7 linked regions of the Oryctolagus cuniculus genome follow. The protein of the gene in region 6 interacts with the protein of the main gene of each other region in a biochemical or structural test. Links are inferred from orthologs where the notes say so. Each region holds a gene or a part of one and is shown on either strand. Other genes may lie near its edges. The genes, in order: UBXN7, EPN1, KHNYN, BRAP, UBE2K, UBC and UBE3A.

Region 1 (4,198 bases), on a different chromosome or scaffold from region 6:
AACATATCATCTATTTATATAATATAAACATAAATTTATATTTTAAATATATAAAATTTATATTTATATTCAATATATAGATATATTTATATATTAATATATAAAGACATATTTATGTTTATATATTTTATAAAATAAAAAATACATGAGAATTCACATTTTAGAATGCTGAAAAGTTCATTCTAAGGTATGTGGAAAAAGGCTTAAAGCAGGGGTGAGGAATGTCCAGGCAACAAACCATACAAGGCCAGGGAAATCATTTGGTCTGGCCCTGCCAAGGCAACGGCCAGTGAGACTCGGAATTCAATAAATCTATAGCAGGCTAATTTTCAAGCTGATAATTGTGTATGGCCCGCAAATGATGTTATAAATATCCAAATCGCCCTTGGCAGAAAAATGGTTCCTCACCTCTGGCTTAAAGGGATCATGTGTTTCTAATGGCTAATCACCATCTAGTAAAAACAGACCCAAAAATTATCAATAGAAATTCACTGCACATCAAGAACAGTGTAAGGTTATTTGCCATTCTGTAGAATTCCAGACACCACTGGTCTACTGAGGGACTTCTAATCAGACTCAGCAATACAGAGACCTGCAACCAGGAAACAAGCTGTCCAACTGAAAAACAGCCCTATAGCAAGTAAGGAGTCAATCTGTCTCACCATACTTTGAGCTTTATGTATATCTAATAAAAATGTTGCAGGAGAAGAGAGTGAGGAGTGGGCATCTGGCACAGCAGTGAAGACCCGGCTTGTGATGTGCACATCCTGTGTGGCACAGCTCAGCTGCAGCCCGGTTTCCTGCTAACCCGCGCCCTGAGAAGCAGCGGGTGATGTCTCGGGTACCTGGGTCTCTGCTACCTCATGGGAGACCAGGATGGAGTTCCTGGCTCCTGCTTCAGCATGGCCCAACCCCAGCTACTGTGAGCATTTGGAGAGTGACCCAGCAGCTGGAAGGAAGATACCTCTCCCTTTCTCTCCTTCTCAAATAAAATAAAGATTTAAAAAAAAAAGTTAATAGTAAGGGTCATATATGAAACTGCAATTAAATGGCATTTTAAACCATCTCTAGAAAATCTAAAGATACATAAATGTGCACTTTAATTCTACAAATATAATGTAGCATACTAACTTATTTACACAATGATTTTCTGTCTCTGTAACAAATCTGGTTAAACACTGGGAAATCCATTACAACTTTAATAAACCAATCACACGTTTAAAGATATTATGAAAAGCTACCACTCACTCCTCATCACTCTTTCATCACAAATTTCCCTTTACCTACTTTGACGTCATGTTTCATGCCACAAACCAGATAACAACACATCAAACATGCAGTTATCATTGCAGAGCAAATAAATAAATAAATAAAACTGCTTTCGTTATGAAACAGCAACTTCAATAAAACCTGTACTGGGTAAAACAACCTAAAAATCTACTTAACCATATCCTGCATGTCCAAGTATGACCCGGTGGAAACATTCTCTGTGTCTAACAAACCGCTACCACACGAAGTACAGATCTGTTAAGAAAAGGAACTAACATTCTGACCTCCTTCCAAAATGACAAACCAGAACGGCAAAATTACACTCAGGCACATGGAGTACTCGTCTCTCAAATCACTCCACGGAGAACTTCATCATTTGCTCCGCCCTCTAATAACTCATGCAAAAAAAGTTCAGCACCATCAGAGAGAAACAAGACCTAGAGAATTCATAGAATGGCTCAGGGCCTCTCCTCCAGGCGGTAAGACCTGTCTGGGCCCTTCGCAGGGGTCCAGAGCAAAGGGAAAAACCAGGCCTAGGGTTTTGGGGGACACTAACCCCCAGCCGCACATTTTCTCCCCGAGAAGTTTCTGCCGTCTTCCCTATTCTATCAGCAGGAGGCCCCGGCGCCATGGTCTCAATCGTTACGATTTTATTATGGGGAGGTGGGAAACGCCACCCAGGACTCCTCCAGGCCTCTCGTCTTCAGCTTGGGGGTGCCCCCTCACTATTCTCCTAAAGCCTCGGTCTCTAAGGTACTCCTCGGCACCCCCATTTCTGGCGGCCTGTCCCCTGGGATGTGTAAAGGCGCCGCCGTACCCCTCAGCCTCCGCGTGAAGGCGGGAGGGCCCGAACACGCCAGGGCCACACCGATGGCTCCAAGGGGCCCAGAAAGGGGAAGGGCAGGCCAGCGCCGGGGGAGGGGAGGGTTCACGGGGAGAGGCTGACCTGGCCGGGAAGAAAGGGAAAGGCAGGTGAGGGGATGCGCGGCACCCCAGGACTGCACACTGAGGAGACGATGATGGAGGAGGGCGGTGGCCCGGGTGCGGCCCCCCACTCCTCCCCGCCCCCAGGTCCCCCGGCCGGCGAGGGCGGAGGGCCCGACCCATCCCCTGTCTAGGCAGGCAGGAGGTAAAAGGGGCTATCCCTTCGAACTGCGAGGAGATCGAGGAGGAGGGTAAGGGGAGCGCGCGGGGGGGTGTCTCCCGCCTGAACCCGGAGACCCCGACGCCGTCGTCGCCTCTTCCTCCGGAGGGAGGACGAGAGCTGTGGGTGAAGCCCGAGGGAGGGACGCATGAAGGTAAGGGGCGAGCCCGGGGCAGACCCGCTGCCCGCTCTGGACCCCACTCTCCACCTTCCGGTAACCGCGTCTCTTACCGGTGATGGCGGTGAACTGCTGAATTAACCCCCTCAGCGCCGAGGACGCCGCGGAGCCCCCGTGGGCAGCCATCTTACCGCCGCCGCCGCCGCCGCCGCCGCCGCCGAACAACAACACAGACACACACGGACCGCCCTCCCCCACCTCGCCGCGCGGCCTGCGCAGGCTCATTGACCGCCCCCAGGCTCCGCCCCTCCGGGCCCCCCGCCCCGCGGCCCGCGCAGGCGCACTGCCCACCGCGCCGGAGCGCTCTGTGCGCTCCGCGGGTTGGCTGCTCTGTTGCTGCCTGCTGGCCGCATCCTCATTGCAAACCTCTAGCGCCTGCCTCTCTGAGCTGCCAGGCCAGCTTGATGGACTCGGTTTGGAGTCCTGGCTTCCGTAGTAGGTCTTTCGAATGTCTATTAAACAAGTTTCGTCGATAGATCCAACTGCTGATGGTGGCGTTTATCCTTTTGGCAGCTCCACTGCACGCTACTGAATTTCCTGCGGTTCCCATCAAAAATAGAAATCCTACATCTTAGCGCCGAAGCGGCTTCCTAACCTCTATAAACTAACGGCCTAGCTAACCTAGCGCAGCAGGAGTGAAACGCCAGAAACCCGCGCGCCAGGGAGGCGGTGGGAGCGGGCTCCGACACACGGGAGGTTTCATGGAGGATTGTTCGTTTGCTTTGCGTCACTGAACTTGCCAACGCAAGTCTCCCCTCAGGGTCTCGCTGAGTTTCCTCACCTGTGAAATGAGGACATGGCTTTGGCGTGAGGGAAGCAGCGTGGTTAAGTCGTGTGTAACACCGTCTCAGCAACACAGTGCCCCTGTGGGTAGTCCCTGAATTCTGAATAGTGAAAAAACTGTATAAAGGGGGTGTGACCAGATGGCTTTAAAAAAAAAAAAAAGGAAGTGTTTTTGCGCCAAAAGAAAATGTACAGAAAGGACCCTGGAGAAGTGTCCCAAACCTCAATTAATGGTTGCTTCTAGAGAGGAGAGCGATAGGGAGAATTGTGAATGTGGACTTTTTTTTAAATCCTTTATTTTTAAACAAAAACATAGTAGTGTCACACGATTTCAGATGGTATTAGTGTTACTTGCATAGTTTTAAATATTTTTAGGACAATTTTGTGTGTAGAGTACACTGAAATCGGTTGACACTCCCCAAATTGAAAATAAAGTTAAAGACATGGAGTTTATGTTCCAGCCTCCCACCTCCATCTGCATATTGTGCATCTTTACAGGAAAATGGTCCAGTGAAAGATGGCATGAGTCATCTGGAGAACTGACCCAGTAACAATGACTGTGCCTCTGCTGCAGACCTTGCCTTAAACCTGCTGGGCCACAGCACCAGCCCTCCCAGTGGCCTTTTATTTTATTTTTATTTATTTATTTATTTATTTGACAGGCAGAGTGGACAGTGAGAGAGAGACAGAGAGAAAGGTCTTCCTTTGCCGTTGGTTCACCCTCCAATGGCAGCCGCGGCTTCTCCTGGTCTCCCATGGGGTGCAGGGCCCAAGGACTTGGGCCATCCTCCACTGCACTCCCTGGCCACAGCAGAGAGCTGGCC
Region 2 (3,967 bases), on a different chromosome or scaffold from region 6:
TGCCTCTCAAACAACAAACACTTTTAAGTAGATTTAAATCACAAAGCCCAAAACCTTTAGAAAGGTCCTGCCTGTTGCCTGCTAAGTGCAGAACACCCGGCCCCGCCCCGCCCCGCCCCGGCCCCGCCCCGCCCCGGCCGCGCCGCGCCCACCTTGTACACGTGCCGCCAGTTCTTGCCGTGGTCATTGAGCCGCTTCCAGATCATGCTCATGATCTCGGAGAAGGCCACGACGTTGTAGGTGAGGTCGGCGATCTCGGACATGAGCGAGCTGGACGGGCCCCAGGGGTCATTGCTCGTGGCCTCGCGGACCTTGATCTCCGCCTCCGAGTAGTTGTGCACGATGTTCTTCATCTGGCGCCGCAGCGACGAGGTGGACATGGTGCCCGGCGGCCGCGGCGAGGGGCGCGGGCCCCCCGGGCTGTGCAGGCGGGGCGGCGGGCGGGTGCCGGCAGCTCACCGCATCTGAGAGGGGAGAGGACCTTGGGAAACAAACCAGACATGGTCTGCCTGGAGCCTGAGCTCCCACGCCTCCCGTGGCTCCCCGCTGCCCTCAGGGTCTCAGCGACGAGACCCCGTCGGCCTCCGCTCTCAAAGTTCCCATCCTCCTTTCAGTTCCCCAAACGGGCCAGGCCCCTGCTCAGCGAAGCACAGCGGAGCGGCAGATGCCAGGCAGGGGCCCCAGCCGGCCGGGCCGGGCGCAGCCCGCGCGCCTCCAGACCCAGCGCCCCCGCAGGCGGAGAACACCTGCGCCTCCCTTCTCTCTGCCGTGAAACGGGGTGCATGCGGTAAACCAGGGAACACACAGGCCACCGGCGCTGCCACGAGGCCCTCTGGCCTGCCACGCACTCTCCACCCCGCCCCGCCCCACGGGCTCCGCCTCACTGCCCGGCGCTGCCCCAGGGTCACGGCAGTACCCGTGACTGCGCACGCTGTCCCCTTGCACGGCTAAAGCCAACCACAAGCCCCGGCGGGCCGTGCGCACCGTGACTGGAGGGAGCTCTTCCCATCAGAGGCTGGCCCGGAAACTCACTCAGTCAACAAAGTGGGAGCCAAACGCCTCCCCAGGCAGGGGTTAGGGGAGCTGTGGCAGCACGGGGCACAGACGAGGAGTGAGGAGTGAGGTCCCCGAGCAGAGGGCGTGGGAGCCTGAGGCCCAGGGAGCGGAGATAAGGGCACTCAGCCATTATTATCTCCCACAACACCCTGCTGCCCAGAGGTTAGATAACCACCTGCACCCCGGCCTCCCCCCGCCTGCGCCGGGCCACCCTGAGTGAGGTCCCACACTCACACGGCCCTGGCCCACCTGAACCCCGGCCTCCCTCCCCCGCCCCCTGCGCCGGGCCACCCTGAGTGAGGTCCCACACTCACACGGCCCCGGCCCACCTGCACCCCGGCCTCCTCCCACCCATCACCCTGAGTGAGGTCCCAGCACTCACGGCCCCGGCCCACCTGCACCCCGGCCTCCCCCCACCCATCACCCTGAGTGAGGTCCCAGCACTCACATGGCCCCGCCACACCTGACCCCCGGCCTCCCCCCACCCATCACCCTGAGTGAGGTCCCAGCACTCACACGGCCCCGGCCCGTTGGTGTTTTCCATGTATCCTCTGTCCTTCCACGCCCGGATTCACCGCCACCCTGGAGGGGACCAGAGAAGGGAACTCCCTCGCCCGGGGCACGCACACCTCTCCCGGCTGAACTCAGGGCAGAGAGCCTGGGGCCTGGAGACAGAAGGAACCAGCTATAAGGAAGTGGCCGGGGTCCCAGGACAAGCCCACCCAGGAAGGGACGTGAGAAGGAGAGAGGGAGGGAGGGACAGGCACAGACCAGGGGACGCACAGCCGGCAAGCTGGGAAGACAGAGAACCCAGTGGCCTTGACACAGGGAGAGGCCTGGGGCGGACACGTAAGACGACGGGAGAACCGGACCGTAACCGGGAGACCCCGAAGTCTGGGGTCTGATCTGGGCCAGCCCAGCCGCCGGCACCCGGCAAGCTGGCCGCAAACGCAGGCCGGGCGCACAAGGCGCAGAGGGCCGGCCACGGCCACCCCCGGGCCCGCAGGGCGCCGAGCCCAAGACCACACACACCGCTGCCAAGGCGGCGGCCTTCCAGAGTTCAAGGGACTCGGCGACTCCCGCGGCTGCCGCCCCGCACCGGCGCCCACCGCCGCGGCTCGCACGCGGAAGGGCGGGCGCAGACCCCGGCCCGAGCCGCTGGGGCCCGCGACCCGCACGGCGGCTTGGGGGCTGCAAGTGACAGGCACGGCGGCCGAAATGACAAGGGCAGCCCGTGCAGCGCGGGGCGCGCACAGGGGGCTCCAGGCACAGGAGCCCGCAAAGTCACCCACGAAACCCTGGCCATCGCGGACCACCGCCCGCAGCGACGCGGGCTCGGACACACACGCACGGCACGCCCCGGCACGCAGGCCCCACACCCAGAGGCCGAAAGGCGACGGAGAGGCCCGGCCCGGCCGGCGCCCCCGCGCTCCGCCCTGCGCTCACCTCGGGCCCTCCTCACGCCGGGCTGCGGGGGGTCATGGCGGTCAGCCCCTGGCCCCGGTCGGCCTCGGTGTCGCGGGGCGCGCGCCGGGCCGCGGGCGACGGCGCACGCGCGGACAGCCGCACGCCGACGGCCCCGCCGCCCCGCCGCCCGGGAGGGGCGCAGAGAGCCGGGCGGGGGAGGGGAGCTGCCCGGAGAACGGGAAGCAACCGTAGGCGGCGACGGGCCGGAAGCGGAAGTGTCGCGCGCAGCCCCTCCGCGCCGCGCCCGACGGCCCCCGCTCGTCGGCCCGGCCCTCCGGCGGCATCACTTCCGGCGCGCGCTGTCGTCACTGGCGTCCTGACGCCACTTCCGGCTGCAGCCACGAACCCACGCACCCACGCGCCCGCCCGCCGCCCGCCGCCCCGGAGCCGCGCCGAGTGCCGCGCGCCCGCCCGCCCCGAGGGGCCGCCCCCGCCCCCGCCCCGAGGCGCGGCTCCTGGGACCCTCCCCGCGCCCAGACCCGAAGGCCAGGAGGCCGCTGACACCGGACACAGAGCACCGCCGCCAAGTAAAATACAACAAAATGTTTAATGAGCAAATTCGTCTTAGCAAATATGAAACTGCCACAGAGGGGGCGGGGCGGCGGGGCGGGGCCAGGGGCGGAGTCAACTACGTAAGAAACCAGGGCCGGGGCGCAGGGCACGGAGGGCCGGACAACGAAATTCAAAATAGTTTGGCCATAAAATATAAACACGCTATGTTCCTACGTGGGAGGGGAGAGGGCTGGGGAGGAGAGGCTGTCGGGAGGAGCGCGGGGCCGTCCCCACCCCGCCCGTGCGTGGGTGCGCGGGTCCGCGGGCCGTGCGCCGCCCGCCCGCCCCGTCGCCGCCGTCCAGGTGCTGCCGCTGTCGCTCGGCCGTCACTCCTCTGCCCTTCTTCGGAGGGGAAAGGGGTGGAGGGGGAGCCGCCCCCGGCCCCGCCCCGCTCCGCCCCCACCGCCTCTACCAGAAGTCCCGGCGGTGGTAGGAGTCGGGGTCGCAGTACTTGGTGACCACCACTCTGTTGGCGAACTTGCGGCCAGTCAGCCCCTGCATGGCTTTCTGGCAGTCAAACACAGAGGTGAACTCCACGAAGATCTGCGGGAACAAGAGGCGGCCCGTGAGCGCGGCCACTCGGGACGGCCCAGCAGGCGGCACAGGGCCCTGCCTCGCCTGGACCCGACGGCCCGGGGTGCCTGGGCCGGTGACGGCCGGCACGCAGGGCGGGCAGACGGAACCCGGCCGGCCCCAGAGCACAGGAACACCCCACCGTGCGGGCCGCGGGTGGAGGACAGGACGGGCAGCCCGGGCCGGGCCACCTTTCAGTCCACCCCAGAGGCCCAGCCGCCCAGCACCGACATCCAGGCAGGCCCCCGCTTCCTGCAGCCTCTGCTGGGGGGCAGAGCTGGCTCCTCCAGCCCACCGGGCCATCTGCTCCCCACACCCG
Region 3 (3,965 bases), on a different chromosome or scaffold from region 6:
TTTGCTGGGTCTTTCCAGATCCTCAGGACAGGGTTAGGGGATTACCTGGTCAAAGTAGATGGCCCCAGTGGTGCCATTTCCAGTCTCCCCAGCTGGCTCGTGGTGGTGGCTCCGGACCGCAGCGAATGCCACTCGTCCAGGGGGTGCCTCTCCCAGGGCTGCACCTCCAGGCCCCCCTGCTGCAGCTCGGCCAGGCTCACAGACCACCAGGCATTCCCCCTCCAGCAGAACAGGCTCAGAACCCTCCTGGGCCCACACGGCCCCCAGGACCAGAAGCACTAGGGCCAAGCACAGCCTGGATCTGTGCAGGGCACCTGGGAGCTGGTGTCGCTTTCCTCTTGACATAGCTGAGTGGTTCTGCCACCCCTAAGCCCCCTGTCTCCTACCTCTTCCTGCTCCTTTCTGCTCCCACTCTGCCCTCTCTCCAGGTCTCACCACCACCTGGCCTTGGTACCTCCCTCCCATACTGCTCTATGTCCCACGCGCTGTCCTGCCTCCCACTCTGCTACTCCTGCTGTCACTGCAGTCCCCTCCTCCTTGGCAAAGCATAAAGTGACAGCAGTTGGGCCCTGGGAGGGAGAGGAGGGACGATGCCAGGGCGGGAGGCCTGCAGCCAACCCGGAGCTCCAAGGCAGCCCCTCTGGAGAGGTCAGCAGGAGGCTGGACCCGGGCGGTGGAGAGCAGGGTGGAAGCTCCTCCAGCCCCCACCCCCATCCTCCTCACCCCTCCTCTCTTCAACATCCCCCACGGCGGCATCTTTCCATTTATCTTTTCCAAAACCACGGCTGTTTTTGGTGGCAAAGCACTTGGGCCAAGAGCGTCACTATCTGGTGACCTTGGATCAGTCACTTTCCCTCTCTGGTTTAACACAGCCTCAAGGACCAGCTTTCCACCAGGGGTTCCTTCTTCCCGAGAAACAACTGCGCAGAGCGTGGCGGGAACCCCAGGAACCCCGATAGGCCGGGGAGCGAACCGGTCGGCGGGCGCGGGCGGATCCCCGAGGGCGTGGGGGGTGGGGCGGGGGGCGGGAGCGCTCAGTCCGGCCGCGGGCCAGGCCCGCTGCAGGCCCAGCCCCGGGAGGAGCCGCGCTGACTCCGCCCCAGGCCAGGAAGTGACTGAAAAAAACAATTTTGAGATGTGGCGGAGAGAGGTCCCCGTTGGGTGAGCAGCCCGGGAAGGCCCGCCCAGATTCCGGCCCCCTGCCCTTGTCCCCTGGGCTGGGGGCGCGGGCGCAGCCGGGGGCCCGGAGGGCACCGAGAGGCGCCAGCGGCACCCGAGGCCGAAGCAGGCGGCCGAGGAGGTAGGTGCCCGGGAGCACGGAGCCGGGGGCCGGGGCGGGGAGCGCGGCCGCAGAGGCTGTGGGCGGGTCGGGCCCAGCCCCTGGGCCCCCGGCGGGGCGCGTGGCGCGACGGAGGGGGCCGCGGAGGCTGGGGGAGGGGCGGTGGCGGGGCGCGGGGGGCGTGGCCGAAGCCTTGGAAGTGGCCAGCCCGGGGCCCGGAGGGCAGCGGGCTTCATTTTTAAGAAGCCACTTGGGCCCCGGAGGAGAACCAGCCCCCGGCCCGCCGGAGCGCCTCCCTCCCTGCTCGGGGTCGCTTAGGCAGCTGGGTCCGGGTGACGTCCCCTAGGAGAGGACGCTGCCGTTGCCTCCCTGTCCGGGAGATGGACTCCTGCTACCTCCTGGGGCTGTTTACCGAAGTCGTGACTAATGCGCGACCTGTTGATGGTTGGTGCGGGCGAGGGGACGGTGAGACTCTGAGCCGCCTTCTCCCCTTCCAGGGCCGGGCGCAGCAGCCATGCCCACCTGGGGGGCTGGTGCCCAGTCCCCTGACCGCTTTGCGGTGTCTGCGGCGGCAGAGGACCGGGTGCGGGAGCAGCAGCTCTGCGTGGAACGCATCTTCGGCGTGGGGATGAGCGTCCTCCCTAAGGACTGTCCCGAGAACCCTCACATCTGGCTGCAGCTTGAGGGCCCCAAGGAGAACGTGAGCCGAGCCAAGGTGACGCCTCCTCTCCGCGGGTCGCTCCAGGGCCCCGGGCTCCTTCCCCGGTGGAGGAGGGGCCTGGGGAGGTGCCTACAGCCTCGGTGCACCTGGGCTTTGCAGGACTCCCCGCCTCTGTTTGTAGTTTTGGTTTCGTTTCTGCCGGGGGCAGTCCAGGTTCTGTCATGACTTGGGAATGAGTCACTGTGTGCCCTCTGGGATGGTAGAGAGAACGCAGCTGACCTAGTGGGGCCCCCACCAGGGAATTCACTGCGGGGTGGAGGTGTGGCCTCATGGCTTCCTCTGGAGTCAGGCTGGAGTTTTAGCCTCAGTTTCTTGATCTGTAAGATGGGGATAATAGCAGTGTCCCTCTGGATAACTCCAGGCTTCACACCAGGAGCTCAGGGGAGAGTCTTGGCCTGAAGTCATTGAGGATTCTAGCAGCCTCTTCTGTCTGGCCTTTCCCACAGGAGTACCTGAAGGGGCTGTGTAGCCCGGAGTTGCAGGAGGAAATCCACTACCCACCTCAACTGCACTGCATCTTCCTGGGAGCCCGGGGCCTCTTCCTGGACTGCCTGGCCTGGAGCACCTGTGCCCACCTAGTGCCTCGGGCGCCTGGCTTGCTGGTGGTCGGTGGCCTGACTGAAGCCTTTGTCATGGCTCAGAGCCGGGTGGAGGAGCTAGTGGAGAGGCTGAGCTGCGACTTCCGGCCCGGGCTTTCGCCCGGAGCTGGAGTGACAAGCAACTTCTCCGCCCTGCTGCAGTCCTGGCCGGATGACCACAGGGCCGCCCTGCTGCAGCTGCCCCTGGCTGTCCAGGAGGAGCTGTTGAGTCTGGTGCAGGAGGTGTCCAGGGGGCGTGGGCTGCAGGTGCCCCCGTCCTGGGAGGGGAACCCCAGGGAGCTCAGAGCTCCCCCAGGGGAAGCCAGAGGCTCCCTAGACATGGGGTCTATGGGGCAAGGAGATTGCAGGATGGCAAGGGAAGAGGGTCATGCTATGCTGAAGGAGGTGGGCAGACTGGGTGGTCCCAGGGAGATGGAGTTGAGGTGGAAGGAGCTGCCTGGGGGAGAGGCCTGGGAGAGAGAAGTAGCTTTCAGGACACAGACAGCAGGTGGAAGGACCGGGGAGGAGGGACCCCTGAAAGGCAAGGCCCCGGGGAAGGAGGGAGTGCCCCAGGAGAGAGGAGGGCTCAGCGTCCAAGGTGAGCCTCCTGGTGCCCACGGCCCCTGTCAACGGGCGGCGCAACGGGGAGCCTCCCTCCTCCAGCGGCTCCACAACGGGAGCGCCTCGCCTCCAAGAGTGCCTAGCCCTCCACCCGCCCCTGAGCCCCGCTGGCACTGTGGGGACCGGGGCGACCGCGGCGACCGGGGCGACCGGGCAGACAAGCCGCAGGCTGGGGCTCGGGGCCGGGGCTCCCCGTGGAAGCGAGGTGCCCGAGGTGGCAACTTGGTGACCGGCACGCAGCGTTTCCAGGAGGCCTTGCAGGATCCCTTCAACCTGTGCCTGGCCAACGTGCCTGGCCAGCCAGGCCTCCGCCACATTGTCATCGATGGCAGCAACGTGGCCATGGTGTGAGTATGGGGGGAAGGGCGAGGGTCCTGGGGAGGGGATTGAGGCAGGCCTCTCTGCCCGCCTTGGGGACACAGGCTGAGGGTGTCCAGAGCACTGACCCTTCCCGCTGCAGGCATGGGCTCCAGCACCACTTCTCCAGCCGGGGCATTGCCATTGCCGTGCAGTACTTCTGGGACCGTGGTCACCGGGACATAACCGTCTTTGTGCCTCAGTGGCGCTTCAGTAGGGATTCCAAGGTCAGAGGTGAGTGCGGCCCCGGCCACCCGCGTCCTGGCGTGGGCTCTGTCCGCGCCTTGAGCTGCCTGTGTATTCCTCTCTTTCTGTAGAGAGTCACTTCCTGCAAAAGTTGTACTCCCTCAGCCTGCTCTCGCTCACCCCTTCGCGAGTCATGGATGGCAAGAGGATCTCCTCCTACGAT
Region 4 (3,500 bases), about 3.9 Mb from region 6:
AGCAGTTAGGGTGCCTGCATCCCATATCGGAGTGCCTGGTTTGAGTCTTAGCTCCTCTGTTTCTGATCCAACTTCCCTGGGTCTCCCACACAAGTGGCAGGGGCCAGCCAGCTGAGCCATCTTCCACTGCTTTCCCAGGCTCATCATCAGGGAGCTAGGTCAGCAGCAGAGCAGCTGGAACTCAGACCAGTGCTCTGCTACGGGATGGTGGGTCAAGGCGGCGGCTTTACCCACTGTGCCACAGCGCCAGCCCTGGAGGCAGCCAGTATCGATGGTGCCAGTGAATAGTCTTCTAGACCTCTAGCTCTGCCCACATGTCTCACAAAATCTTTTTGTTTATTTATTTATTTGAAAGAGTTACACAGAGAAGGAGAGGCAGAGAGAGAGGTCTTCCATTCGCTGGTTCACTCAGCTAGCTGCAGCGGCCCTAGCTGTGGCAGTCTGAAGCCAGGAGCTTCTTGCAGGTCTCCATGTGGGTTCAGGGGCCCAAGGACTTGGGCCATCTTCTACTGCTTTCCCAGGCCATAGCAGAGAGCTGGATTGGAAGTGGAGCAGCCGGGACTCAAACCGGTGCCCACCCAGGATGCCGGCACTGCAGGCGGTGGCTTTACCTGCTTCGCCTCAGTGCTGGCCCCTTTTTTTTTCATACTACACATTCAGATTCATGTTCTTTGTATCAGTTGCTTGGTACTCCAATATATGAATACACCATAGTAATTTTCACTTTAATTTACTTATTTAAAGGGCAGCGAGACAGAGACAGAGTTTCCATCTGCTGCTTACTTCCCAAATGCCTACACTAACTGGGGCTGGACCTGCAAAAGCCAGGAGCCTGGAACTCAGTCCAGGTCTTCCATTGGGGCAGGAATCCAAGTACTTGATCCATCATCTGCTGCCCCGAGGGTACAGATTAGAAACAGAAAGCTGGAATGGAACTTGAGCCAGGACACACCCAGGCACACTTTTGATATGGGGCGTGGATGTCCCAAGCAGCATCTTAACCACTCTGCCCGTGCCCATCCAGTGTTAATCAGCTCCCTGATGATAGACACTTAAGTGAGCTCAAGTCTTACACTGTTACAGTCAGTGCTGTGCTAAGCATCTTCTCCAGGTGTCTTTTTGCATAGTCCTGAATATTTTTATTATATAGAATACCTGTGAAATCAGACAACACCCCCTGAAATTTACGCTGAAATGTGGCCCCTTAAAGTTCACTAGAAATGCTATCCGGGGTGCCACATGCGCTACTGGAATTTGGGGTGCCTTACGATTATTACGATTATTAGACTTATTACCAAATCCCCGATATTAATAAGCCCGAGAGGGTTCTTGCCTAGTATTTAGAGAAGAATTCTAAATACCGGCACAGATAAACGAGGCAGCATGGTATGTTTTAAGCTTTTATTTAGTAAGAAAGGTGCATAAGAGAGTGAGAGCTTTATTTAGGGGAGAGAGGTGAATAGGGGTTCATACCAAGCACAGGAACCAGCCACGTGGATGAGCATCTAGGCCGGGAAGCCTAGAGCACATGGCCCAAAGGCCACGCACCCTGGAGGCGCAGGGCTACAGCAAGCCCTGTCCTGGCAAGAGGTCAGGGAAGAAGAGCAGGGCCGGGCACACGGTGCCCCAGGCTTTTAACCCACTTCCAAAGGGGAGTGGTTAATTAACCTGATTGGCTGGTGGGCACCCCGGTGTGGCCAGGTAGGGGAATGAGGCCACATAGGGGCGTGGCAAAGGCATCAGGTAGGAGCATGAGGTCACACAGGGGCGTGGTTTTCCAGTTCACTAGTCTGATCAATTTTAACCTGTATGCCTGTCTACTTCACCTGTGTCAAAGGACCTGTGAATTTTCTCCTCCTGCAGCCATTGCCAAGTTGACTTCCAAAGTCTTTCTCCAGCTGATGCTGCAGTGCCAGTGTGTAGGAGTGCCTCTTTTCCCATGTCTAAGCTCCCTGGCATTCTGATACATAAAAATGGTATCTCAGATGGTGTTTTAATTTGTAATTCCTCCCTTATGAGTAAGATTGGGCAGCAAGAATGGGACACTCCCAAATCCTGAAAACCCTTTGGTTAGAATAAGCACGTTTTTTCCCTTCCCCAGCAAATGCAGTGAGGTCAGAGCACTTGACTCTTCAAGAATGTCACTTATCCTCATAACTTCCTTATCACAGTTGTCTCTAAGGCACCTGTTTAACCACTGACCTCAGAGGAGCAGAAGTTTTGCCATGAGTCACAGAGTAGTTTCTGCTATTGGAAAACTTCTGATGCTTAAAACAAAAAGTATCTTGAACACTTGGGTTAACTGGAGCAAAATTCTTGCTTTGTGCAGCTGACTGCAAGGTCGGCAAACAGCGCAGGAGGGAGGGGTCTGTTCTCAGTGGATTCTGAGGCTGTGGCTCCTCTGTGCAATCCCAGAGCAGAAAGAGGACTGTGTCAGCAAATGAAAATGTGCTTTGTCTTCCTTTGTTTTGCAAAAGGTGCACTCAGCTAAACACAAAAGTGGCCAGACTCACAACTGAACTTAAAGAGGAGCAGGAAATGAACAAATGTTTGCGAGCCAACCAGGTCCTCCTGCAGAACAAGCTGAAGGAGGAGGAGAGGGTGTTGAAGGAGACCTGTGACCAAAAAGACTTGCAGATAACAGAGATCCAGGAGCAGCTGCGTGATGTCATGTTCTACCTGGAGGCGCAGCAGAAGATCAACCACCTGCCTGCTGAGGCACGCCAGGAAATCCAGGAGGGACAGATCAACATCCCCGTGGCTGCTGCCTCCAGCCCCTCCTCGTCAGGGGGCCCTGGGAAGCTGCCCTCCAGGAAGGGCCGTAGCAAGAGAGGCAAGTGACCTTCCGAGAGACAGACCTCCTGAGACGGGGGTGTGCCGGGACCCTCAGCTCCCTGTGTGGGTGGGCCCTAATAAGTGCAAGTGAGGATCTCGCCACAGTCGTTCGGCTTTTTCATTTGCTGGTGTGCGGTGTGTGGAATGTAGAGGGTGCCGACGGGAGAGCTGATGGAAAGTTGAATAGTTCACTAACCTCAGACGTTCTGATGACCACTTTGCCTTCCTGCTTGGTAGATGTCCCAACTCTGCTGTTCATTTTTCTCTTGTATTTATTGAGTTGGTATTCTTGACATACAGTTCTGGGGTAGGTTTAAGACATTAAAGGTTGTTTTTTTTTTTTTTTTTTTTTTTTTTTTTGTAACCTCAAAGGTATTGTTAACTAGCACTAAAGCACCACACCTCCCTGAGGTGGCCACAGCTGCTTTGAAGGTGGTTCCCATTGGCTACGGAGAAGTTAGGAAAATTCCCTGGCCTAGTCTCCTGTCATTGTCATCCCTCCCTCCCTCCCTCTGGGGAGTTAAAGAATTGTTTGAATGTTGGATGAAAAGAGACTGGGGTTGTAAAGCCGGCACTGGCCTGTGGCCAGCAGCCATCTCTTCTTGCTCTCAGGCTAGCCAGAAAGCACAAATCACCAGGGGCCGACTGAGTAGACCCAGTGTCAG
Region 5 (3,048 bases), on a different chromosome or scaffold from region 6:
TCAGGCATTTCATAAACAGAACTTCAGGAACAGTGACTGTTCCCACCATACCTGCGCTCCCACCCACACTCCCACCCCCTTCTCCCTCTCCTATTCCCCTTATTTTAAAGGGCCAGATACTAATCATTTAGTGCTTTCAGACGACAGTCTCTGTTCACCGCTGCCCCTGGAGTGGGAAAGCAGAGTAAGCAAAATGGTGTGGCATTATTTCAATCAAGTATTGGCAAAACTTAATTCGCTGATCCCTTGCCTTAGAATGATCAAAGAGCAGAACTGAAAAATATTTCTTCCATTTGTCAAATTACAAGGCCACGGCCATGCCACTTTGAAGCCCTGGTAGGAAGTGACTGAAATGATCACCAGGGAGAGATCTGCACTGAACAGAAGGAAGGACAGGTGCACAGAGGCACAGAGGGTCATGTATGAAAAATGGGAATCAGGTATGGATGCTCATCATATAATTCTTTTGACTTTAACATTTTTATATATTAAGAAAACAGTCTCCACCACATAAACCTGTAAACTAGTATGTTAATCAATAAATGTTCATCTTTACATCTGACAAATCTTACTACAAGAAAGGACACCTTTTCCAAATTCAGTTCCAATAGAATATGTTCATGTGTTAACACCGCAAACCACAGAAGTACAGACTCATCTATGTGTATAAGAAAATCTTTCAGAAGCAGCCATCGTACCTGATTTGCTACTACTGCATCTTGTGGGTCATCTGGTTCTGCAGCTGCCAATAGTGCTTGCAATGACAACAATACTGTGCGGAGAGTCATTGCTGCTGCCCTAAAATAAGAAAATATACCAGTTAGGAAGCCTGTGTTTTGTGAGGCAAAATGGATATGATCTGAATAAAACATAAACCACCAGCAACTTTTTATCTTAATTACAAAGTTAGGGAAATTTACTTTTTTTTTTTTTTTTTTTTTTTGACAGAGTGGACAGTGAGAGAGACAGACAGAGAGAAAGGTCTTCCTTTGCCATTGGTTCACCCTCCAATGGCCACCGTGGCTGGCGCACCACGCTGATCCGATGGCAGGAGCCAGGTACTTATCCTGGTCTCCCATGGGGTGCAGGGCCCAAGCACTTGGGCCATCCTCCACTGCACTCCCTGGCCACAGCAGAGAGCTGGCCTGGAAGAGGGGCAACCGGGACAGAATCCAGTGCCCCGACCGGGACTAGAACCCAGTGTGCCAGAGCCGCAAGGCGGAGGATTAGCCTAGTGAGCCGTGGCGCCGGCCCTAAAAGAATCTTTAAATGTAAAGTTTTTGAGCTGAACCCAAATCAATTATAAGCAATGACACTGTCTTAAGAATGAATTAAGAAAAGTAATACCAAAATAAAACCTATTCTTATGACACCAATCTTTTATGTTATTAAAAAAAAAAGGCATAGAAAGCTTTGGACTGCTCTACATATATTTTATTATCTTTTTTAAAGATTTATTTATTTGAAAGGCAGAGTTACAAAGAGGCAGAGGCAGAGAGAAAGAGAAGTCTTCCATCTGCTGGTTCACTACCCAGATGGCTTCAACAGCTGGAACTGTGCCAATCTAAAACCAGAAGCCAGGAGTTTCTTCTGGGTCTCCCACGCAGGTGCAGGGGCCCAAGGACTTGGGCCATCTTCCACTGCTTTCTCAGGCCATAGCAGAGACCTGGATCAGAAGTGAAGCAGCCAGTACCCGAACCGGCGCCAATATGGGATGCCGGCACTGCAGGTGACAGCTTTACCTGCTACGCCACAGTGCCAGCCCCTCTACATTAATTTTAAAATATAAGTAATGTGGAAAAGTATGCAACTGAAAACCTTTTTATTCCATTAATTCTTTTCACAAAGTACTGATTAAATCCATGGTATACTGAGATTTTTAGTATTCAGTGATAATAGTTTAAATCTATTAAAATAAATCCTAATAGCAAAGAAGAAAATGAAATTTGGGGCTGGCTTTGGATTGGCACAGCTCCAGCTGCTGTGGCCATCTGGGGAGTGAACCAGCAGATGTTAAGACCATTCTCTCTCTGTGCCTCTGTCTCTCTGTAGCTCTGCCCTTCAAATAAAGGTGTTAACTTTTATTAATTAGTAGATGATACAAGTCAGTAAAAGATAAATCTAAAGTATTAATACTGCTCAAATTGATAAGCATAGCCAATATGGGTACTTATTTATTCACAAAGTACTCAATAAAGTCTTACAATAACCATCTAACTGTTCATATTGTTGACCGACTTTTCTGTTAAGGATCTTCCAGAAGATCAAAAATTAACCCACGTTCATTCCAAACAATTCTACATGAAGAGAATGGTGTTTGTTTTGTTACAATTGGTTAAGTATAAGAAGAGTAAAATGCTGTACAGCCAGATGGATTTTTATGCATGTCTATGTCCATGTAACCATATGGATCAAAATGTAGAGTACTTCTAACATTGAAAAGCCTCATTCCTCTCCCTCTCCAACTCCTGCCTACACACACCAATGCCCTAATTCCCACCACCATAAATTAGTTGTGGCTTATCTTGAATTTCAAAAAAAGCTAACCATACAGTATATCTTCTTGTGTGTCTGGCTTTTGTCACTCAACATATCTGTGAAAATAATCCATACTGTTTCTGTCAATAGTGTGCTTGACTTTACTGCTCTTTAGTGTTCCATTGTATGATTATACTCAATATACTGATTCTCTTGTTGATAAGTCATTTCAGTTATTTCCAGGTGTATTCTGCTGCGTGTATTCTTATGTAAGTGTTTTTGCATTTCTCTTCGACATATATCTAAGAGTAAAACTGCTGAGCTACCAAAGTTTTATGTTTCACTTTGGTAGATACTACTGGTTTTAAGTGGCTGAGCCACATTCCTACCAGCAATGTATGAGGGATGCAGATGTACAGGTACACAGTGGTATCCAATTGTCACTTTAATTTGCATTTGCATTTTCCTGTTGACTAATGAGGTAGAGAACAGCTTACTGACCACATCTAGATGTTCCCACAGCAAAGTATCTGTTCATACCTTTAGGAAGGGCAGGATTACTAAGTGCAA
Region 6 (3,942 bases):
TGGTGTCACTGGGCTCCACCTCGAGGGTGATGGTCTTGCCGGTCAGGGTCTTCACGAAGATCTGCATGCCACCTCTGAGGCGCAGCACCAGGTGCAGGGTGGACTCCTTCTGGATGTTGTAGTCGGACAGGGTGCGGCCATCTTCCAGCTGCTTGCCGGCAAAGATCAGCCTCTGCTGGTCGGGGGGGATGCCCTCCTTGTCCTGGATCTTCGCCTTGACGTTCTCGATGGTGTCACTGGGCTCCACCTCGAGGGTGATGGTCTTGCCGGTCAGGGTCTTCACGAAGATCTGCATGCCACCTCTGAGGCGCAGCACCAGGTGCAGGGTGGACTCCTTCTGGATGTTGTAGTCGGACAGGGTGCGGCCGTCTTCCAGCTGCTTGCCGGCAAAGATCAGCCTCTGCTGGTCGGGGGGGATGCCCTCCTTGTCCTGGATCTTCGCCTTGACGTTCTCGATGGTGTCACTGGGCTCCACCTCGAGGGTGATGGTCTTGCCGGTCAGGGTCTTCACGAAGATCTGCATGCCACCTCTGAGGCGCAGCACCAGGTGCAGGGTGGACTCCTTCTGGATGTTGTAGTCGGACAGGGTGCGGCCATCTTCCAGCTGCTTGCCGGCAAAGATCAGCCTCTGCTGGTCGGGGGGGATGCCCTCCTTGTCCTGGATCTTCGCCTTGACGTTCTCGATGGTGTCACTGGGCTCCACCTCGAGGGTGATGGTCTTGCCGGTCAGGGTCTTCACGAAGATCTGCATGCCACCTCTGAGGCGCAGCACCAGGTGCAGGGTGGACTCCTTCTGGATGTTGTAGTCGGACAGGGTGCGGCCGTCTTCCAGCTGCTTGCCGGCAAAGATCAGCCTCTGCTGGTCGGGGGGGATGCCCTCCTTGTCCTGGATCTTCGCCTTGACGTTCTCGATGGTGTCACTGGGCTCCACCTCGAGGGTGATGGTCTTGCCGGTCAGGGTCTTCACGAAGATCTGCATGCCACCTCTGAGGCGCAGCACCAGGTGCAGGGTGGACTCCTTCTGGATGTTGTAGTCGGACAGGGTGCGGCCGTCTTCCAGCTGCTTGCCGGCAAAGATCAGCCTCTGCTGGTCGGGGGGGATGCCCTCCTTGTCCTGGATCTTCGCCTTGACGTTCTCGATGGTGTCACTGGGCTCCACCTCGAGGGTGATGGTCTTGCCGGTCAGGGTCTTCACGAAGATCTGCATGCCACCTCTGAGGCGCAGCACCAGGTGCAGGGTGGACTCCTTCTGGATGTTGTAGTCGGACAGGGTGCGGCCGTCTTCCAGCTGCTTGCCGGCAAAGATCAGCCTCTGCTGGTCGGGGGGGATGCCCTCCTTGTCCTGGATCTTCGCCTTGACGTTCTCGATGGTGTCACTGGGCTCCACCTCGAGGGTGATGGTCTTGCCGGTCAGGGTCTTCACGAAGATCTGCATGCCACCTCTGAGGCGCAGCACCAGGTGCAGGGTGGACTCCTTCTGGATGTTGTAGTCGGACAGGGTGCGGCCGTCTTCCAGCTGCTTGCCGGCAAAGATCAGCCTCTGCTGGTCAGGGGGGATGCCCTCCTTGTCCTGGATCTTTGCCTTGACATTCTCGATGGTGTCACTGGGCTCCACCTCGAGGGTGATGGTCTTGCCAGTTAAGGTTTTCACGAAGATCTGCATTGTCTGTTATGAGAAAACACACAAAAAGAAACAAAAAAAAATTCAGCAAACAATTCACTAATATTCCTAAAGACTGAATATCGTCTATTTATCTACACTATTAAAATTAATAACTTGCTTAGGAACTCCAAAGGACACCAAACACAAACCTGAAAAATTACTTCAAAACCCCAGCCTCAGACCCTTCGTTATGAAGAAAGCAGGGAAACGTGACCAGTGAACTCAGGGCTTTTCCGTCCCTCCCCCCTTCCGGCTCGCGTTCCCGTCCACTCAGCAGGATCTCGCCTAGGCCCTAACCGTGTGTCTTGCAACTGACAGAAACCGACGCCACCCACACCGGGAGGCAGCCCCGCCCTGCTCTGTGTGCCAACACGCGGGTGACGTCACGGCGCGAGCCGCCCCCCACCCGCTGGAGCAGCCCCGCGCCGAGGCGCCTCCCTACTCCCCAGCCCCTAACCGGGGCCCAGCGCTGCCCGTCAGCCCCGCCACACCGCTCCCCCACGTCTCCAAACGCGGCCCGGCGACGCCGCCTTCCGCTCCTCAGACCCTCGCGGCGCTCGGCGCTCTCCGGCCCCTGTCCGCCCTGCACCCTGACCTCCCGGCTCGGCGGCGCCGCCATCTTGTCGGTTCTTCCGCCTGCGGGGCGACCCCAGCCGACTACCCGCCCGGGAGGGCGTCCCGCCCGCGGCGGGCAGCCGCACCGCCCTCCTCCCTCACGGCCGAGAGGCCGCGGGCCGCCCCCACCCCGGCCAGCACGACGAGGTCCACTCACCAGGCGGCGGCGGCGGCGGCGGCGGCGGCGGCAGCTGTACGCAGGATGAAGGCGACCGAACTCCGGCTCCGACGGAACTGGCTGCGCCGCGCCCGGCGCCCGCTTATATAGTCCGACGGCGAGCCGCCGCCCCGGCGAGATCCCTCCGCAGAAACGCCGAGAAGGAACTACTTTCCTCAGCCTCTTCCGCCCTCCGGGAAGGAACCCTGCGCCCGGGGCCGTCGGCCCCCTCACAAAACGTTCTCGGGTCGAGCCCGGGGCGGTACCGCCGGGCCCGGGAGGGGAGGGGCCGCCGCCCTGAGGGGCCCGGCGGAGGGATCAGGGCGTTTGCTGCGTGCTGCGGCCGACGTGCGGGCGCCCGCCCTGGGGGAGGGGAGCCGGCGCGCGGGCGGCGGGAAGACCCGGCGCGGAGCCGGGCGGCGCCCGGAGCGGGCGGGCGGCCGGGGGCTTCGGCTCCGCCCCGCGCCCCGTCCCCTCGGCCGCAGCGGCCCGTCGGTGGGCGGCCCGCGGGGGTTCCGGCCCGGCGCCCCCTCCCCGCGCGCGGCCCGCTCTGTCCCCGGCCCGCGACCTCGAGGGGCTTTCTGTGGGGTCGCGTCTGAGGTGACCGCGGTGGTCTCGTCGGGGCCGGGCCGTGACTGGGCACATCCGGGCCTCGCCTCCGCGGCCCACTGTGTCCACGGCCCGTGACCTCTAGGGGGCTTTCTGTGGGGTCGCGTCTGAGGTGACCGCCGTGGTCTCGTGGGGGCCGGGCCGTGACTGGGCACATCCGGGCCTCCCCGCGCGCGGCCCGCTCTGTCCCCCCGGCCCGTGACCTCGAGGGGGCTTTCTGTGGGGTCGCGTTTGAGGTGACCGCCGTGGTCTCGTGGGGGGCCGGGCCGGTGATTGGACACATCCTGCCCTCGCCTCCGCGGCCCCGGCCCCGGCCCCGGGCCGCCGGCGCGCAGACCCGCGGGGAGCCACGGCGGACCCCGACAGCGCTGGCTGGTTGCGGCTGGTCGCGGCCGCCCAGGCTCTCCCCGGAAGCCGCCGCCGGAGGCGCCTGGTGCGGCCCGGGCTTTAACCTGGGCCTTTTTACGGACGCGAACCGAAGCTGCGCTCTGTGTTTCCGGGATCCGATGCATGAAACGCGCACCTCGCGTTGTGATCACAAGGGGGAGGGGCACGGTCAGCCACGGGGTCGTGTCCTGGTGTTTGGGAGAATCGTGGCGTCGACCAGCAGGTGAGCTGGAGGCTCTTAAACGTTAGCGGTGGATTTGCCCCCTCGTGCCCCGAGTCCCCCCCTCCCCACGCTGTGCTGTGCGACTCTTCTAGAATGTTCCATTGCCACGATGGGGCGGAGGCGGGACCACAGCCCCTCCTTAGAGGGGAAGACCGTTTTACAAGTGTCATGTCACCGAGAAGCCCCGGCAGAACAACCGCTGTGTGGTTGCTGTGGTAACCTGCGGCTGTGTGGATCTGGGAAGATCTACCTGAGCATTGTTAGAGGACTTTTCCACCCCTTAAACCC
Region 7 (4,300 bases), on a different chromosome or scaffold from region 6:
GAACTTTTTGAAGTATTCTCATCTTTTTATAGTGATTGTAAGTCTTATTTATGGGCATTTCCTGAGATTATTTACATATACTCAGACAACTCCTCACCTTCATCTGGATTTAAAGCCCTGTGTTCATAGCTATGGAAGTACAGGCTCAAGCATTGATGTGTCAGCACTTCTCTATGGGTTCTCAGATACCTTGATGTTTTTTATTTGGCTCTGGGTCCATGCTGGTAACTGCCTTCTGTGCTTGTCTGTTGTTAGTTTGAACGCATTAATTATGAAAGATCATTCCCTTCTAATTTTCTCATCTTCCCTTAGTTGCTCCTCAGATAGTGCCTGAATAATGCAGTTCAGTAGGGGAATTACAAGAGGAAAAACTAATAGTTTGAAAGGATCTCTTGATACAAGGCTATATCACATGTATGCTGTGCTTGCCAAAACCTGTAGTATAATTAAGGAGATCTGCAAAATTTGGACCATGACAATTAGGAAAATTTAGCTGAGGCCACCTTAAAAGGGGGTAAAAGATAACTTGGTTGAAAGGAGGATATAATTTCATAGTTTTATCATAATCTTTCATGAAATTGAATCTAATGAGTTTGACTGGAAAGACTAGGACGTATTTTCATGCAGTAACCAAGGAGTTTTGGCTAATGTGTGGTGAATCTACGTAAATATGGAATAAGTAACACTTTGGTTTGTATATGTGCGTGTGTATGTATATAACTATTTCTTTAAACATTTTCATTTTTGGTGATTTGTTTTCTTCATCTGTTTAAGAACCCTATCACTAAAATGTGTCATATTGAACCTGTTGCCATAATTTTGAGGTCTCAATCCATGTCCTAATTTTTTTGCTCTTACATTAAGTAGCGAAACTAAACCAAAATAAAAATTCAGCCTCCAAAATCCAAACTTCTTTATTCAGTAAATTTGCATTTTATTACTAGTTTCAGCACTAATTCTAAAATCTTGGGCAAGTCAGTTAATCACTCTGAGGCTGCTTGATTTTTTAAAGTTCTTATGTATGAAATAGCTTTATTAGTTAGTCAAGTTGTCTTGAGATTCAAGGTAATTACCAAGCAGAGTGCTTTGTAAACTCATAACATTACACAGAAGTAGAAGGTATTATCACAGATTGAGTTTCCTTTGTCTGAAATAATTGAGACCAGAAATGCTTTATTTCTGAGTTGTTCGGATTTTGAATACTTGTATAGACTTTATTGGTTGAAAAATTCTATAATTTGAAAATCCAAAATGCTCCCAATAAGCCCTCAGATTATTTAGGAGCATTTTGGATTTTCAGGTTAGGGATGTTCAACCTATACCATGTTTTCTCAATGAAAATATCATTTAAGAAAACAAAATGCTGAAGAATAGTTCTTTGTAGTAATTATTCTTCTGATGAATTTTGCATTGACACCTAATTTAAAGTTTCAAATTATTATTTGAACAATGAATTGGATTTATATATTAAAGTGTTCTAACTAAAGATTTGTTTAATTTATTAGAGTTATTAAGCCTACGCTCAGATCAAGTTAGCAGCTAGACTGGTGTGCCAACCTGTTTTTAATCAGTGACTCAAAGCTGTGATCACCCTGATGTCACCGAATGGCCACAGCTTGTAAAAGGTAATTTTGAATGTTATGTTAGAGCCTTTAAAAGGCTGCCATTGTAAAGTGAAATACATGCTGTAAAAATGGAGAAAATGTGTAGTTGGCAGAAACACTGCCAAGAATAGTGGACCTAAGAGTTGATTTATTTCTTCATTTAGTCTCATTCTGAAATATTTATTTTTTTCCCCTCATTCAGAATATCAGTAGCCACCACTGAAGACTTATCTGTGTGGATAAACAGGAAAGCATTTCTCAAAAAATTTCAAGTTGTAACATATAAACATTTTATTATATACATTGTAAAGGAGATTTGTAATATTTCTTAATAAACATTTTAAAGTGTGTCTTTTACGTGGTGGGTGTTTTAATTAAGATACGTTTCTAGAAATTTTTATAACTTTAATAAAACTAGTATACTTTTCTCTCCTAGAGAGTTACAGTGGAGGTAAAAGGAGTGGCTTGCAGGATGGAGAAGCTGCACCCAGTATTATTGGAAGTGAGCCACCGTTTGAATTTGCTAGCTAATGCTGCAGTATTCAGATTAGTGGGTGTTTTGTGATCATACTTTTTGCTATTCAAATCAAGACTTAAAATTGAGACTTTTCTAAGCTGTATTTTCTATTTTTTTAATACTACTTAGTTATGGCTTCGTTTTTAAAATTTTCTTTCTGCTTTGTTACTCTGCTGGTTTAAGATAACAATGGCTTTTTTTTTTTTAATTTAGTAAAATTATGAGCACATAGTGGATTGTAACTCCCAACATCTTAGCAGTAAAGAATAAATAAGCTCTGAAGGAGCCAGAGTAGAGTGTGGGAACTGTTGTATAAGGGGGCCTTAAAAAAATTCATGTCCTGAAAAAAACATGTAAAAATTTAAAAGTTTTTCTGTATCAAAATTGTAATTCCATTTTTCCACAAAGTTTTTGAAGTGCCTTTGTGTGTTTCATAGTTTGAAGAGTTTGTATCCTAACTTTAGGATAATTTTTGGTAACTTTAAAATATTATTGAAATGTTTAAGCAAGATGACTAGAAATTTATTGAGAAATGGATCATTAATACTGCAAGAAGAGTGTTTATTCTCTGTATATTCATTTTTCTCTCGATTTAAAAAACATTTCCTATTTGAATAGAAAGTAATATGCTATATATGAGACCCAGAATAGATTTATTTTAAGGAAAATTTTTCAATTTTTTCTTATTGTTTTGTTCTTTTTCTAGACTGGATTGGTTTAAATTATTTGGTTTGACTCATAGACGGTTTTTAGTAACTCACTTTAACATACATAGATATTAAGTAATTATCTAGTATAACAATAGTGACATTTTGATACAAGTGATCACATACTGTTTAGGGGAAAGAAATTGGGAAAAATTGATGTTGAACTTTATCTCTGTCCTGTTTCAGAATCTCAAGACTTTGCAGCCATTATATGTTTTACTTTAAGGTTTGAGCTTGTTTTCCTTTTTGGCTGTGTCTTTCCTTTTTTTGCAGTACTATTTTAATTTTCCTATCATTAAGTCCCATTTTTCCCCTCACCTTGCCCTGATAATTTTTAGAGTTTGATACCTACATGTTTGAAAGCTTCTAATCTGCCCGTCTTCCCTCAGTGCCAGCACGAATTTAGTTTTTGTTTTGCAAGCCAGCTCTGTCTCTTTATAGTATGATATCTGATGCTAGGGGGTCACACTTGGCAAAAATGAATCAGCTGGTACATGGGCATATCATCAGTTTTTAGCTCTTCTGTCTAAAAGATACTAGTTTGGAAGCAATCTTGGGGTACTTACCCCACAAGGCTGGTAGAGACCAGGTGTGTCACAGAGGTGATTTGCTTGATCCCTGGGGAGAGGGTAGAGTGAAATTTTTACATTGTGTAACTTCAAAGTCACTACCACCTCCAGCATGCTCCGGTTTTTAGTTCTTAAACAATTTTCTATAAAATTTAAATATACTGGAAAGATCTAAAATAAATATTTGAGCTGCTGGAGTATTGCGTCCTTCGAATATGAATAGACTACAGTGAGTGTAACTTTGAAACCCTAATAAAAATTTTTTTTTGAAGCCCATAAATTTGGGGAACATTTTCTTCTAATGACTCTGATTTTAAAATTCTTTTAAGTTTTTTTTTTTTAAGTTGGATATCTGAAGTCTGATAAATTCACAAATCAAGTCCTTATAGTACCAATTTGATATACAGGTTTTGACTTCAAAGAAAATTTTTTTAACCTTTATTACGAATTTGAAACATTAGAAATTGGTATTATGTTGCTGTACATTTTTTTTTTAAATAAATTTGTGTATTTTTTATTTGTAAGAGTAACAGTTTGAGAGAAAGAGAGATCTTCTGTCTGCTGATTTGCTCCCACAGTGGCTGCAATGGCCAAGGCTGGGCCTAGCTGAAGCCAGGAGCCTCATTGAGGTCTCCCACATGGCTGGTAGAGTCTCAGACACTTGGACCATCATCTGCTGCTTTTTCCAGGCCGTTAACTGGGAGCTTGATTGGAAGTAGAGCAGCTGGGACACAAACTGGAACCCATATGAGCTGCCAGCTTTGCAGGTGGTGGCTTTATCCACTACAACACAACACCAGCCGCTGTTGGATTACTTTACAGCAGTGGTTGACTAATGCTGTTTATAAAAATGAATAAGGTAACAGGCTTTTTTTTTTTTTTTATACTGTAATAGTCATGGAA

What was found.
Region 1: the proteins of UBC (region 6) and UBXN7 form a complex in vitro, tested with the Homo sapiens proteins (4 studies listed by BioGRID). The link is inferred for Oryctolagus cuniculus from reciprocal best matches to the Homo sapiens genes UBC and UBXN7.
Region 2: the proteins of UBC (region 6) and EPN1 form a complex in vitro, tested with the Homo sapiens proteins (6 studies listed by BioGRID). The link is inferred for Oryctolagus cuniculus from reciprocal best matches to the Homo sapiens genes UBC and EPN1.
Region 3: the proteins of UBC (region 6) and KHNYN form a complex in vitro, tested with the Homo sapiens proteins (3 studies listed by BioGRID, with this or other methods). The link is inferred for Oryctolagus cuniculus from reciprocal best matches to the Homo sapiens genes UBC and KHNYN.
Region 4: the proteins of UBC (region 6) and BRAP form a complex in vitro, tested with the Homo sapiens proteins (3 studies listed by BioGRID, with this or other methods). The link is inferred for Oryctolagus cuniculus from reciprocal best matches to the Homo sapiens genes UBC and BRAP.
Region 5: of the proteins of UBC (region 6) and UBE2K, one has a biochemical effect on the other in vitro, tested with the Homo sapiens proteins (18 studies listed by BioGRID, with this or other methods). The link is inferred for Oryctolagus cuniculus from reciprocal best matches to the Homo sapiens genes UBC and UBE2K.
Region 7: of the proteins of UBC (region 6) and UBE3A, one has a biochemical effect on the other in vitro, tested with the Homo sapiens proteins (5 studies listed by BioGRID, with this or other methods). The link is inferred for Oryctolagus cuniculus from reciprocal best matches to the Homo sapiens genes UBC and UBE3A.

The regions. Positions count from the first base shown.
Region 1 is NC_091435.1:82,954,044-82,958,241, forward strand, and holds the start of UBXN7 (UBX domain-containing protein 7), read right to left. Parts: upstream 2,801-4,198; 5' UTR 2,718-2,800; coding exon 2,645-2,717; intron 1-2,644. UniProt on the Homo sapiens protein: Ubiquitin-binding adapter that links a subset of NEDD8-associated cullin ring ligases (CRLs) to the segregase VCP/p97, to regulate turnover of their ubiquitination substrates.
Region 2 is NC_091449.1:3,324,471-3,328,437, forward strand, and holds the start of EPN1 (epsin-1), read right to left. Parts: upstream 2,801-3,967; 5' UTR 2,503-2,800; intron 2,183-2,502; exon of another isoform or gene 2,089-2,182; intron 1,722-2,088; 5' UTR 1,573-1,721; intron 1,384-1,572; exon of another isoform or gene 1,371-1,383; intron 1,149-1,370; exon of another isoform or gene 1,033-1,148; intron 482-1,032; 5' UTR 381-481; coding exon 153-380; intron 1-152. Other genes in the region: U2AF2 (splicing factor U2AF 65 kDa subunit), read right to left, coding at 3,484-3,618. UniProt on the Homo sapiens protein: Binds to membranes enriched in phosphatidylinositol 4,5-bisphosphate (PtdIns(4,5)P2). Modifies membrane curvature and facilitates the formation of clathrin-coated invaginations. Regulates receptor-mediated endocytosis.
Region 3 is NC_091443.1:50,772,363-50,776,327, reverse strand, and holds the start of KHNYN (protein KHNYN), read left to right. Parts: upstream 1-1,165; 5' UTR 1,166-1,300; intron 1,301-1,776; 5' UTR 1,777-1,793; coding exon 1,794-1,994; intron 1,995-2,446; coding exon 2,447-3,546; intron 3,547-3,659; coding exon 3,660-3,790; intron 3,791-3,873; coding exon 3,874-3,965. Other genes in the region: CBLN3 (cerebellin-3), read right to left, coding at 46-345.
Region 4 is NC_091452.1:9,035,212-9,038,711, reverse strand, and holds part of BRAP (BRCA1-associated protein), read left to right. Parts: intron 1-2,477; coding exon 2,478-2,841; 3' UTR 2,842-3,500. UniProt on the Homo sapiens protein: Negatively regulates MAP kinase activation by limiting the formation of Raf/MEK complexes probably by inactivation of the KSR1 scaffold protein.
Region 5 is NC_091433.1:33,602,561-33,605,608, reverse strand, and holds part of UBE2K (ubiquitin-conjugating enzyme E2 K), read right to left. Parts: intron 799-3,048; coding exon 699-798; intron 1-698. UniProt on the Homo sapiens protein: Accepts ubiquitin from the E1 complex and catalyzes its covalent attachment to other proteins. In vitro, in the presence or in the absence of BRCA1-BARD1 E3 ubiquitin-protein ligase complex, catalyzes the synthesis of 'Lys-48'-linked polyubiquitin chains.
Region 6 is NC_091452.1:5,127,075-5,131,016, reverse strand, and holds the start of UBC (polyubiquitin-C), read right to left. Parts: upstream 2,801-3,942; 5' UTR 2,436-2,800; intron 1,982-2,435; exon of another isoform or gene 1,813-1,981; intron 1,667-1,812; 5' UTR 1,664-1,666; coding exon 1-1,663.
Region 7 is NC_091443.1:14,372,259-14,376,558, reverse strand, and holds the start of UBE3A (ubiquitin-protein ligase E3A), read left to right. Parts: upstream 1-1,500; 5' UTR 1,501-1,605; coding exon 1,606-1,625; exon of another isoform or gene 1,626-3,446; intron 3,447-4,117; exon of another isoform or gene 4,118-4,256; intron 4,257-4,300. UniProt on the Homo sapiens protein: E3 ubiquitin-protein ligase which accepts ubiquitin from an E2 ubiquitin-conjugating enzyme in the form of a thioester and transfers it to its substrates.